3 linked regions of the Rattus norvegicus genome follow. The protein of the gene in region 1 binds, or shares a complex with, the protein of each later gene. Links are inferred from orthologs where the notes say so. Each region holds a gene or a part of one and is shown in the gene's direction. Other genes may lie near its edges.

Region 1 (3,641 bases):
ACCCTCTTCTCCTTTCTAGTTACTCCCGAGGCGTGGCGTGTGATGATGTCCCTTAAATCCGGTCTGTTGGCTGAGAGCACGTGGGCTTTGGACACCATCAACATTCTCCTCTATGATGACAGCACTGTCGCCACCTTCAATCTTTCCCAGGTGAGGCAGCTGCACACAGCTGGCAACAAGTTGGCGTGTTCTAAAATGGAGTATGCATAATGCTAAGCTGGTGCCTAAGGTGCTGTGCAGCCAGCATCCAAGACTGAATCTCTGTAGTTAGTGTAAAGCAGCACTAGTCAATACGTAGTTGTCTGGGTACTCACTCTGGGATAGCAACTAATTTCTATCTTCAGGGTACATCATGTGAGGTGTGAGTGTGTGTCTGTGTGAGTGTGTGTCTGTGTGAGTGTGTGTCTGTGTGAGTGTGTGTGTGTCTGTGTGTGTGTCTGTGTGTGTGTGTGAGTGAGAGAGAGAGAGAGAGAGAGAGAGAGAGAGAGAGATTGAGACTGTTTCAATAGGAGTGATTAAACCCTAACGTGGAACTGATCTATTACAGAAAGTACTTCTCAGTGCAACTTAGTATCTTTCTATTGATGTTACTGTTTTTCAATCATTTGTTTGAGGCAGGGTCCAGCCTGAGCCAACTGTGTGATGTTGAGCCCCTGCTGCCACATGCTGTGGTTGTAGGGAGCACCACCACATCCCATGCTGTGTCTTTTTCCCCAGTGGAAAGTATGTAACACATTTCATAGCACAGATCTCATTGGCCATGTCCCCGTCTCGTTAGAATGACCAGGGACTTCTAGCCATGCCTGCCTCCAGGTCACCTCCCCACATCTGCCTTCTCCGGGTCATCCTAAAGTCCTCACTTGAAACCCTGCTTCTTCCGTCATCCAGGGAGCACCCCACCCTCACTCACCCCCAGTTCAGAGCTGGCCTTAAGGTAGCTTGTAACAATATGGCTAACAGCAGGAAGCCTGAGGAAGATGCCCCTGTCAGTGAGGTATGGGCTTTAACCTGATGTTCAGAATAAAAATGTGAGAGGCTTGTTCTCCCTGTGGGCTGTAAACAGCTCCTCACCTGAAGACACTAGGTTCTCTGCCTGCCGCTGAGATAAAGACCAGAACTTTCTACCACCCCCTTTCTTTCACTGAGTCTTCAGTGTAGACCAGAGGCAGCTCTCAGCTGGTGGACTGTGTTAATGGGTCAAAAACATTGCATGCCCTAATGATGGTATTTAAGATGTGTGCTTAAAATAATGTGTCCAGCCTTCTCGAGAACCTTCATCCTCTTAATAGATGAACTCTGGCCGGTTGTACATTTTTATGCCCAGAAGTGCTTGGTTAACTTGCCCTTTTCCCCAAGGAAGCTTATGACAGGGAGGGGGAGAATTCTTCCCCTGGGGAGAATACCTTCAGGACCACAAAAACTGCTTGGTATAGCTATGTGCGCTCACCCGGGACAGGCGTGCCCAGCCCTGGGAACAAAGAGGAGATGTGAGATTATGGTTGGTCTCACAGCATCTGTCATACAGAACCCACGCTGCATGTCCCTACAGCTCATGTAAGGCTGGCTGTGTGTGGAGTGAGTGATACAGACGGGAGCACTCGACTTTCCACAGGCAGACTCTGTCAATGGCTCTTGTCTTTCATTTAGCATTGTGAATAACTGAAATGTAAAATTGCATTTTATAAAGCACTTTAGTTCATTTATCAGGGACTAAATTGATTTGTTTATAATTTTCAGTCTTTATGAGCGACTACATTACTAAAATTATCTCCTCCAAAAGATATAGAAAGAACGTAAATCAGGACAACCTATGGTACCTGAGACAAAAATAACCATAAAAATCCTAGGAATAATAACCATAAAAACCCCAGCAGGCGATTCCCAGATAAATAGTAGAGGAGCAAATAGATTCACTTTGGGTGCAAGAGTCTATAAAACCCTCGCTCCTGCTCCTCACAGTGTACTCCCTAAATCATGCAGGCCGAGAGAGTGGGGAGCTCTGCACACACTGGAGCCATGGCTGGGGAAAGCTGGGGCCAATGCTGGCAGCGCCAGCTGGCAGTGAACTGGAGGAGACACACTTGTGCACCCTTAGTCCATCCTCGGGAAGGTAGCTCTCAGACGCGTGGTGTGCCCTCTAGGGTCAGGGCAGAAGGACATTAGAACAGTGTGAAGTCTCTACCCAAGGCCCCTCTGTCAGAGCTGGTGTCCTGACCTGTACCTGCTCTCTCCCCTCTCTAGCTGTCGGGGTTCCTGGAACTACTAGTGGAGTACTTCCGAAAGTGCCTAATTGACATTTTCGGTATTCTGATGGAATATGAAGTGGGTGACCCCAGCCAAAGGGCGCTTGATCACCGCACAGGGAAGAAAGACGACAGCCAGTCCTCGGAGGACGACTCTGGGAAAGAAGAAGATGATGCCGAGTGTCTGGAGGAGGAGGAGGAGGAGGAGGAGGAAGAGGAGGAGGAGGAAGAGGAGGAGGAGGAAGAGGAGGAAGACAGTAAAAAGACAGAGTCAGAGGGCAAGAGCAGCTCTGCCCTAGCTGCTCCAGACACCACTGCGGACCCCAAGGAGACGCCGAGGCAGGCCAGTAAGTTTGACAAGCTGCCCATAAAGATTGTCAAGAAGAACAACCTGTTTGTGGTGGACCGGTCCGACAGGCTGGGTCGGGTTCAAGAGTTCAACAGCGGGCTCCTCCACTGGCAGCTGGGTGGTGGCGACACCACTGAGCACATCCTCACTCACTTCGAGAGCAAGATGGAGATCCCTCCTCGCAGGCGTCCACCTGCGCCTCTCAGCTCCACGGGTAAGAAGAAAGAGCTGGCAGGCAAGGGCGATTCTGAAGAGCAGCCAGAGAAAAGCATCATAGCCACCATTGATGATGTCCTGTCTGCCCGACCAGGGGCCCTGCCGGAAGACAGCAACCCCGGACCCCAAACCGAGAGCGGCAAGTTTCCCTTTGGAATCCAGCAGGCCAAAAGCCACCGGAACATCAGGCTCCTGGAGGACGAGCCCAGGAGCCGAGACGAGACTCCCCTGTGCACCATTGCGCACTGGCAGGACTCCCTGGCCAAACGCTGCATCTGTGTGTCTAACATCGTGCGGAGCTTGTCTTTCGTGCCTGGCAACGACGCAGAGATGTCCAAACATCCGGGCTTGGTGCTGATCCTAGGAAAGTTGATTCTGCTGCATCATGAGCATCCGGAGAGAAAACGGGCGCCACAGACCTATGAGAAGGAGGAGGATGAGGACAAGGGGGTGGCCTGCAGCAAAGATGAGTGGTGGTGGGACTGCCTCGAGGTCTTGCGGGATAACACACTGGTCACATTGGCTAACATTTCCGGGCAGCTAGACTTGTCTGCTTACACAGAGAGCATCTGCTTGCCGATCCTGGACGGCTTGCTGCACTGGATGGTGTGCCCGTCTGCAGAGGCACAGGACCCCTTTCCCACTGTGGGGCCCAACTCAGTTCTATCGCCACAAAGACTTGTGCTGGAGACACTGTGTAAACTCAGTATCCAGGACAACAATGTGGACCTGATCTTGGCCACACCTCCATTTAGTCGTCAGGAGAAATTTTATGCTACATTAGTTAGGTACGTTGGGGATCGCAAAAACCCAGTCTGCCGAGAAATGTCCAT
Region 2 (4,381 bases), on another chromosome or scaffold:
TGTGTGAGACTGGGTTTCCATATGTAGTCCAGGCTGGTTTTGAACTTTAAGGGAGCACTATCACACCTGGTTCTCTTTACAGTGCATCAAAAACAGCTTCCTAATCGTGAGACTCTGTAATGAGAAGAGAGGGTGGGGGAGAACATCACCCTACTAGGCAAACAAAGAGTTAAATATTTCCAGTCTGCACACACGGACTCACTCAGCTTTGCTGGGCTTATCTGTAACTCTAATAGTGAATGGAGTTGGAATCTGAAAGTTCCGAACTGCTTTGTGATTGTATTTTACTTTATTCATGGAGAGTCGTAAAAGGCGAGAGCAGGTGGAATTGTGAACTGCAATTCAGCATCTCTCGGTTTCCTTTTCACTCTCCAGCTCTCTGCTATTTGACCTGATTAAACAGCCAGGGGATAGCCAGACTTCTATATGCTAACGATAGAGTCTCTGGACTCTATGTGATTTCGTGCGTTTTCGCCCAGTCTGAGTCTCCCTGTGCTCCGTGGAAGCCTGAGTTCGCAGAAGTCTTAGTTTCTTCAGGGGTTCACCAGACTCTAAGCAGCCGAAGACTGGGGAAGCCTCCAGTCACGTCTGAACATTCACTTGCAGATTCTTTTCACCTCCTATCTTAGTCCAGAAAGGTGACGCCTGGATTCGCAGAGCCATTCCCGGAGGGGACTCTAGCAACACCTACAATTGTCAGGCTCTAACAATTTCTGCCTAGTTACTGGCTTCCCTAGCTGCGTTTCCTAAAGTTGCCTCAAATCTTCCCCAGCCTTCTGCCTAAAAGGTGCCAGGTCTCACTTCGTTCCCAAGCTGGTCGTGTCAGATCTTCGAAATCGTCGACAGTGGAGAACGGTGGTCGTAGGGGACCGTGCAGAGTGACCACCTGTGAATTACGTAACAAAAAACCATGGCTGAGACATTCCAGGGGGAAGGGAGTTGCTGCCCTGGACTCTCCCGTTCTCAGAAACCGACCGAGGAAGGTGGGTGAGATAAAGAAAACACTTCGGGAACAAGAAAATTGAACAGCGGCAGAACCCAGAGCATTTTTAGCAAAGAGTGGAGCACAGTAGTAATTTCTTGGAGGAAACTGCAGCCTTCCAACTTTTTGCACTTGTAACACAGTGGTGTACCCGAGACTCGGGGGTTAAAACCGTGATATACAAAGCCCAAAGCTAATGAATGGGATTCAGCATTTTTGTTGGCATTATGTAAATATTCTTGTCCAGGAGCGCAAACTCTGCGGTTATTTAGTAAAGTAGGGACTCAAACTAAGCGAGATTGCTCTCCCATGTATCTCCACTAGTCCCTATTTGAAAGGGCGCTACTAACACGGTACTGCCCCTTTAAGACCTGCTCGCTCTCGGGCTCTACAAAAGGGAGTGACCTCTGGGCTTTGACAGCTCCCCTAATAACTACCACCACGCAGGCTCCGCCCACTTGGCGACCAGCCGCGCCGATTGGCCGGCAGACCGGTATCCCGTGCTCTGATTGGCCTGCCGCTTCCCCTGAGCGAACCTTTAGAACTCTGAGACAGACAATATTCTGTTACATTGTAGCAAAATGGCGACTGTCATTCACAACCCCCTGAAAGCGTAAGTAAGACTAAAAAATGTACATATTCCGCGTGGTTTCAATATGAAAAAAAGGCGCCTTGCGGAGCGCAGCCGGCGCTCGGCTCTCGCAGACGCCTCCCGCTGCGCCCGGGCTCCTCTTTTCTTCCTGCTCTTACTTCTTCATCTTTTTTCCTCCCAGCGCGCAGAAATGTCAGGAGATGCAATTAACAAAAAGAAAATTGTTAAATTTGTGTTCTGCTTAATTGGCTGACCCGGACCGGGAGGGAGCACAGAGCGCCGGCGCCGGCTCCGGAGCTGCGGGGGTCGTGTGCAGCTCGGGTCTTCACGGTCCCCGGAGTCCCCTGCCTCTCCCGGCGCCGCGCGGGGCTGGCTGAGTCCGGCCGGAGCGCGGGGCAGGGGCCGCGTCCTGCGCTCTGCTATGCCCTGCGCTCCAAGCCGGAGCTTCCCCGGCCCCGCTGCTTGTCCACCGGGGCGGGCAGACCGACCGCAGCGGCTGCGGAGTTTTGCAGGGCGTTCGCTCTGCCTTCCGAGCTCTCCCAGGGAGTTTGTGTAAACCTTCCGGAGTTGGGAGGACGGCGCGCGGAGCGGCGGGTCCCGGGAGTCCTGGGGCCCAGGTGCTTGCCCCGGGCTTTTCCACTCCGGCAGCCGGGGATCAGGCGGGCGCTCCGGGCGGTCGCCGGTGTGTCTGTGTATTTGTAGGCTAACTGGCTCTAGTAAATTAACGATCTGGGTTAACTTGAGGTTGATATGGAGACGGGGAAACTGCAGGTCTTATTAATGGTGTGCTCGCCTGCTCTGGGTGAAAAGCTGAGGCGGCGGAGGCGGCGGTGTAGGGCTCTGGCGACAGCGAGGGGCAGGTGCCTCCCGGAGACTTTGAGCGGACAGAGGGGGGCGGGCTGCGCAAGGACTCGCGGGGGCCGGTTCCGATCGGAGCTGCCTGCCTGCCCGTCTTCCTTCCTTCCTTCCTTCCTTCCTTCCTTCCTTCCTTCCTTCCTTCCTTCCTTCCTTCCTTCCAGTCGGTGGACTGAATATGAAGCCGCCAAGTCTGCGGGTGATCGTGGAGCTGGGGGTGGCCTGGGAAAACTAGTGTGGCTCTCAAGGGGCGCTATTGGCAGGGATGTTGGCAGAGGGTGGATCCTTGGGAATCGCGGCGCGGCGTGGGCACCGGGTGGGTGCCGAGTGTACTAGGACTTCACGCCCTGATGAAAGCCTCTGGGAATCGGAGGGTGCGCGTGGGTGTTTAGTACCAATTCTTCCCGGTCTGTGTCAGTGGTCGATCTTGGCTTTTAACTGCGCGCTACAGCGTCCTAAGCCCTGGCTCCGGGAGTCGAAAACACCGTTCGCTTTGGGGAGCAGCAGGGCGGCGGCGAGTGTGTGTGTGTGTGTGTGTGTGTGTGTGTGTGTGTGTGTGTGTGTGTGTGATTCCTAGTGCCAAGAAACGCGTAGGGAGAACCCGCTGCGTTTGCACCAGCCAACAACCAGGAATAGGGCAGGGATGTCCCAGATCTCGGAGTTTCCACGAGATACTGCGGTAAAGACAGGGGCTGAGCTTGATGCGAGTTCCTGGCTCCGGTTCCCGCTCGGAAGCTCAGCTACTTTGCACTCGCGACAGCGTTTAACCTGAGAGGGGAAAAAAATGTTTTATGGCAGAATAAATGGGCGTAACTTCGCCGCGTCCTCGCCGACTCCCGCCACCACACCGCTGGTGCCGTGAGTTTCTCCAAAACCCACACAGCTGATTTGCAATTTCCTCATTTCCAGTCGAAATCACGTAGCAGAGCTGATGCTGCTTGGTAAACTCAGGTCTGAGAGATCTATTTGCTATGTGTACGGGGTTCCTCATTGGGAAAGCGGCATCCTTGGTGCCCGGGAGCGGGCTTACGCTCGGGCGCGCGCAGGAGCTCCACGCTCCAGGGTTCCCCAGATCTTTTCACTTTTTTTTTTTGACACAGAAGCGTGCGTGTATTGGAAATTGTGGGGAGAAGGAACAGAGAAGCTAGAAGGTGGTCAATCTCGGTTGATAGAATTAGTTCTGAATTATCCTTGTATCCCTTAATAATTGGAAACACTTGCCGTGGGATGCATTTGTAACTCCGTCTTGGCTCACGCACAGGGGCGCTCACCCACAACACCCCTGCCTGCCCTTTCCTCAGAGGAAGTCCAGTGGTCACTTATAATTAGCCATCCCCTTTTGTATCCCATCCTCTTCCCCTGAGGACTAAGGGTGTAAACAATAACCCCAATCAGCCAAGCTTTTTGCACCCTGGACATTTTCAAAACTCCGCACGCAGGAGCACACACACATCGTTACTGGGAGACCGAGGCCATCTGCTTTTATCATTATTATTATTATTTTAAAAACAACTTGTTTAATAAAACATCCTATACATTTCATTTGTTTTTAGAAGTTGCTGACCAGGAAACAAAACACACGTGAATAAATTATGCATGGGCTAAATTAGAACAAAGCAGAGCAACGCATCCAGCCGAAGGGATGGATGGGGGCGCAGGGAGGAGGAGGAAGAGTGAGGGGAATGGTTTGGAGAGCTTACGTGTTTATCCTTGTGTGCCCCTCCTGACAATGAGGGAGCTCCAAGCCACATTAGCATTTTCTCCGTGTGCAAGCGCTCTCTCTCGTCTTAAAAAGGCAACATCACGGACGCCCCCTACAGAAACTGGTCACAGAAAGATTTCCTCTTGAGCCTGGGGATAAGTAGCAGTAGTAACGGTGTTGGGAAGAAGCCAGCTCAGGTTTCTTTCATGCCACCCCGTGTAGGGCTGTGCCTTAGACTCTGGGTCCCTTT
Region 3 (4,412 bases), about 45 Mb from region 1:
CAAAGTCAGGGGTGCCATTTATTCCTGGGTAGGACATAAATTAGACACCATACCAGTGCCGGGGAACGGATGGGTCAAGGCCTTGGATGATTTGATATGGGTGGGCGGATGGGGACATTTGTAAAAAGGAGCTAAGTCTTGAGATGTATTGTGTGTTTGAAGTGCGGGGAGATCTTGAGACTTGTGAGGATGGGTGGACCGCCCCCTGCTGGACAAGAGTGGTTTTGTATTAACACTTGATATGCTAATTTATGCAGCCACTCTAATCAGAATGCTAAGTTATTCCCCAGAGGGTGGGGCTGAGTGAGTGAGTGGTGTGTGTGTGTGTGTGTGTGTGTGTGTGTGGTGTGAGACTCAGTAGGTCAGCTCATTCTCTGGGGATCTCTTACTGTGGGTGATGGTAGGAGAGAAAAGAAGACGAGGCTCCTGTAGGGATGGATGACAGGCGCACGAATCCTACATCCAGACAACAGTCAGGAGCTGCGAACAGGTAAGGTTTCCTCAGGATCTCAAAGTCCTCCTCTGGAAAATGAGACTAGTAAAGGTTTAGCGTGGAGTGAGTGTTAGGTGCACAGTAGGTGTTAAGTATTCACTCAACAAATATTTGTTGAACACCTACTAAGGCAGGCTACTAATTCTTCCTAATAACAATGTTACCGGGGCTGGGGATTTAGCTCAGTGGTAGAGCGCTTACCTAGGAAGCACAAGGCCCTGGGTTCGGTCCCCAGCTCCGAAAAAAAAGAACCAAAAAAAAAAAAAAAAACAAACAAAAAAAAAACAATGTTACCACTTTATGTCTTGGTACATATCAGATCCTCTTTGTAGATATCTTCTCTGTGGAATAAGTGAATTTATTAGTACCTGCCAGAGATTAATTCCAGCACTTGGTGGTGTGGAGTCACACACTAATTCCAGCACTTGGAGAGACAGAGGCAGCAGAATTGACCAGCTTGGGTTGAACAGCAAGATGCTGTCCTTAAAACAGCCACTTACCCTGTTACTACTGTAATCTTCAGTCCGTCGAGACAGGCCCAGAAAGCTTAAGTAATGCGCCTGAAGTCCTATCGGCGAGGATTTGAACCCAAGAAGAATGACGGCAGTTCTGTAGTGAGGTGGCCGCGAGAGTTATCTCTCAGTCACGATGGATTCTCTAGAGTTTGGAGTGCCAGGTGGCGTCTGGCGCGCCGGTGACACCGCCGGGTGGGCACCTGCGAGGTCCCCGCGCCTGTGGCTGGGTGTGCGTGAAGGTGGGGTGAATGGAAGTCTGCGAGTGTAGTGTGACTGTGTGTAAGCGGCCATGTGCGCGTGTGTGCGTGCATGCGTCTGTGCACGTGGGGCTGGGAGTGCATGTGAGTGAGCGTGTGTGAACCACTGCGTGATCCTCCATCCCTCTGGGTCGGAGGACCCGCTAGGGACTACCACTCCCAGCATGGCCTGGGCGGCCCGCCCTGCCAACCTGATTGGTTGAGATCCTCGTGCTCCCGCCCCCCGGGAATGAATGGATGGGCGGCCTCAGCGCCCGCCCGACCGCTGGGAGGACCGACCCGGCAGGGACCTGCTGGGGGCAGGACCCGGGGAGCAAGATGGCCACGGTCATCCCCAGCCCCCTGAGGTGGTGCGGGCGTGCGCGAGGCGGGGGAGTCAGCGCGGGCGAGTCTGTGTGGCTGCGAGTGCGTGTGTGTGTATGTGTGCGGCCGCTGGGGGTGGGGCTGGTGGGGTGTCAGGGGGCTGTCACCGCGTGCGGGGGTGCGAGTGTATGTGACTGTGGGTGTCTGGCAAGAATGGTGTACGACGCGTTGCTCCTGGACGGGTGGAGGGCGTGGGGGAGGGGTCTCCAAGGATTTTTAGGGGAAAGGGGTCATGTCCCCTCCCAGGGATGCTAGGGTTTGAGAGAGGGTAAATGATTTAGAGAAGATGGGGCCTGGGTACACTCGAGTCGAACCCACGCTACCTTTGTCTTGGGGTGTGGAGTGTGTTGTGAGACTTATACATTGCTTTTTGTTTTGTAGCTGAATGTGTGGGTATGTATAGGATTTCTTTTATTCTGCACTACCTATCTGAGTATTTGGGTCTCTAAGTGTGTGCACATGTCTGGTGAAACTGCACCATTTATGTTCCGTGTCTCTGGATAGGGAGCTGTAGGGATAGGTCTAAATATTTGCACGAACAGAGGCAGACCGGACTGTCCCTCTGTTTCCAAGGGGTGTACCTGTGTTTGTGAATGTATTTTAAATTTGGGTTTGTTTTTCCCCGGAGGGTGTGAATGTGTGTATGTGTACCTGTATAAATCTCTGTGATGTCTTTGTATTGTGTGTTTGGCTGAAGTGTCTCTGGATGAATATGTAAGCGCATATGTAAATGATTCTAGGGTCCCTATCTTTTGACAACGTGTGACTGTTGGGATGAGTGTTGTGTGGTGTGTTTCCATGTTGTGGGGCTTTGTGGATAATCTTCCTCTGGACACATCTGGGGTCTCTGGATACATGGCATTCATAGGTAGTTCTATGGATATTCTTTTAAAATTTGGAATATTTGTGTTCTGCAAGAGATGTGCGGCTGTGCGACAGAGAGAATTTGTTTGCTACTCCTTTGTGAATATTGGGATATGTTTCTCTTTGTGTGTGAATCCCGTGTGGCCATGTGCGATTTGTTTGTATTGGATGTTTGGCTACATGTGTGGACGGGTCCCGGTGTGTTTTGGTCTGTTTCTATATTGTCTGTGAATACTTCTTAACCCGAGACATAATCAAGTTTTAGGTAACTGCTTCCCTGCCTGCACCCTGCCCCGCCCCCGGATCCTGAGGGGTGGGAGGAGATGGGGGAGGTGAAGGTGGACCTGGTCGGCTTGCCCTTTGAGGACCAGCGGGAACGGGCCGCGGGGGAGGGTGCTGGGCCTCCTCGCACCAGCCCTTGCTGACAGCCGCCCGCCCACTGCTCGCCCGCCCCCGCAGCCTTGGCGAGGACTTCTACCGGGAGGCCATCGAGCACTGCCGCAGCTACAACGCGCGCCTGTGTGCCGAGCGCAGCCTGCGCCTGCCCTTCCTCGACTCTCAGACCGGCGTGGCTCAGAACAACTGCTACATCTGGATGGAGAAGACCCACCGCGGGCCTGGTACCCGCCGCGAGGCTGGGGCGGGGCGGGGCCTGCGTCCAGGGACCTCACTCTCACAGCCTCTCTCCTCTAGGTTTGGCCCCAGGACAGATCTACACTTACCCCGCCCGCTGTTGGAGGAAGAAACGGAGACTCAACATCCTGGAGGACCCCAGGCTCCGGCCCTGCGAGTACAAGATCGGTGGGTGGAGCTGTGTCCCCTGCGCTTGCTGTGGCCCCAGTCAAGGCCTTCAACCCCCCCTGCTGCCCGTCTGAACTGTCTGAACTTCGTCTTTATTATCTTGAGTGTCTTCACAGCAGGGTATCTGTCCCTGGATGTCTTGAGTTACTTTCTTTGAGTTCCTGAGCTGCCAGCTGTACCTGCTATGTGGGTCAGGACGAGCAGGTGTATGGAGGACGCGGTGTTATCCATGTCTAGATGTATCAAGTCTGACTGTACGTGTTTCTGAGTGAGCTGGGACACACCCGTGTCTGGCAGTGTTTCTTTCTGTGGGTGCTTGAGGGCTGTCTCACCGTGTATGTGTTAAGAGTTAGCCACAGTTCTCCAGCTGTGGGTCAAGACCCCGCATAACCTATTTACATTCACGATTTGTATCTGTAGCAAAATTACTGTTACAAAGTAGCAACGAAATCATCTTATGGCTGGGGGTGACCACAACATGGGGAACTGTATTAAATTTAGGGTCACACTTTTAGGAAGGTTGAGAGCCACTGAGTTAAGGGTGTCTAGTTGTATTCACTGCTTGAGTGTTTTAGAATGCCTGTTCCTTTCTAGGTGTTTCCAAGAGAGAATATGTATCAGAAAGTGTGTATTTGATTGTGTGTGGGTGGTAGGTCTGTGCGTACCTAGCTTTTTCTGGGCTCTATGTGATTCTGTCAGCGCATCCTGTTAGGGTAGTGTCTGTGAGAGCCTTTCTGGGTTAGGTGTTTCTTCTGGAGTTTTCCAGTGTGTTCTGGAAAGGCAGACATTGGTCTCGTCCTCTGTCCAAATGTGTGTGTGAAGGTTTGCTTGTATCAGGAGTACTGGAAGTGCTGACTGGCTGTGATTTCCGGTGTATGTCAGACTGTGTTTCTCTGTGCAAGTGTGTGACCACATTTGAGTGCTTCTCCTTGGGGTTGTCTCTGAGTGTCCAGGTGTATCACGTGGCCTGCCTGTGTCTTCCTAATTAACGAAGGCCCAGATTTCTCTGAGGCTCTGCCTGTCTCTTCCTGAGTATCTCTGTATCCAAGGACTTAATCGTATCTCTTCTGTGTGTCCAGCTGTACTCAAAGGTTGGCTGTGTTCCTTCGTGTGGCTGGC

What was found.
Region 2: Arid1b (region 1) and Dpf3 share a complex: the UniProt entries of both Homo sapiens proteins name them as parts of the neuron-specific chromatin remodeling complex. The link is inferred for Rattus norvegicus from reciprocal best matches to the Homo sapiens genes ARID1B and DPF3.
Region 3: Arid1b (region 1) and Dpf1 share a complex: the UniProt entries of both Homo sapiens proteins name them as parts of the neuron-specific chromatin remodeling complex. The link is inferred for Rattus norvegicus from reciprocal best matches to the Homo sapiens genes ARID1B and DPF1.

The regions. Positions count from the first base shown.
Region 1 is NC_086019.1:48,323,405-48,327,045, forward strand, and holds part of Arid1b (AT-rich interactive domain-containing protein 1B), read left to right. Parts: intron 1-19; coding exon 20-150; intron 151-2,241; coding exon 2,242-3,641. UniProt on the Homo sapiens protein: Involved in transcriptional activation and repression of select genes by chromatin remodeling (alteration of DNA-nucleosome topology).
Region 2 is NC_086024.1:108,853,786-108,858,166, reverse strand, and holds the start of Dpf3 (zinc finger protein DPF3), read left to right. Parts: upstream 1-1,541; 5' UTR 1,542-1,563; coding exon 1,564-1,595; intron 1,596-4,381. UniProt on the Homo sapiens protein: Belongs to the neuron-specific chromatin remodeling complex (nBAF complex).
Region 3 is NC_086019.1:93,732,334-93,736,745, forward strand, and holds the start of Dpf1 (zinc finger protein neuro-d4), read left to right. Parts: upstream 1-1,583; coding exon 1,584-1,612; coding exon of another isoform or gene 1,613-1,615; intron 1,616-1,799; exon of another isoform or gene 1,800-2,013; coding exon of another isoform or gene 2,014-2,021; exon of another isoform or gene 2,022-2,496; intron 2,497-2,503; exon of another isoform or gene 2,504-2,757; intron 2,758-2,951; coding exon 2,952-3,112; intron 3,113-3,185; coding exon 3,186-3,293; intron 3,294-4,412. UniProt on the Homo sapiens protein: May have an important role in developing neurons by participating in regulation of cell survival, possibly as a neurospecific transcription factor. Belongs to the neuron-specific chromatin remodeling complex (nBAF complex).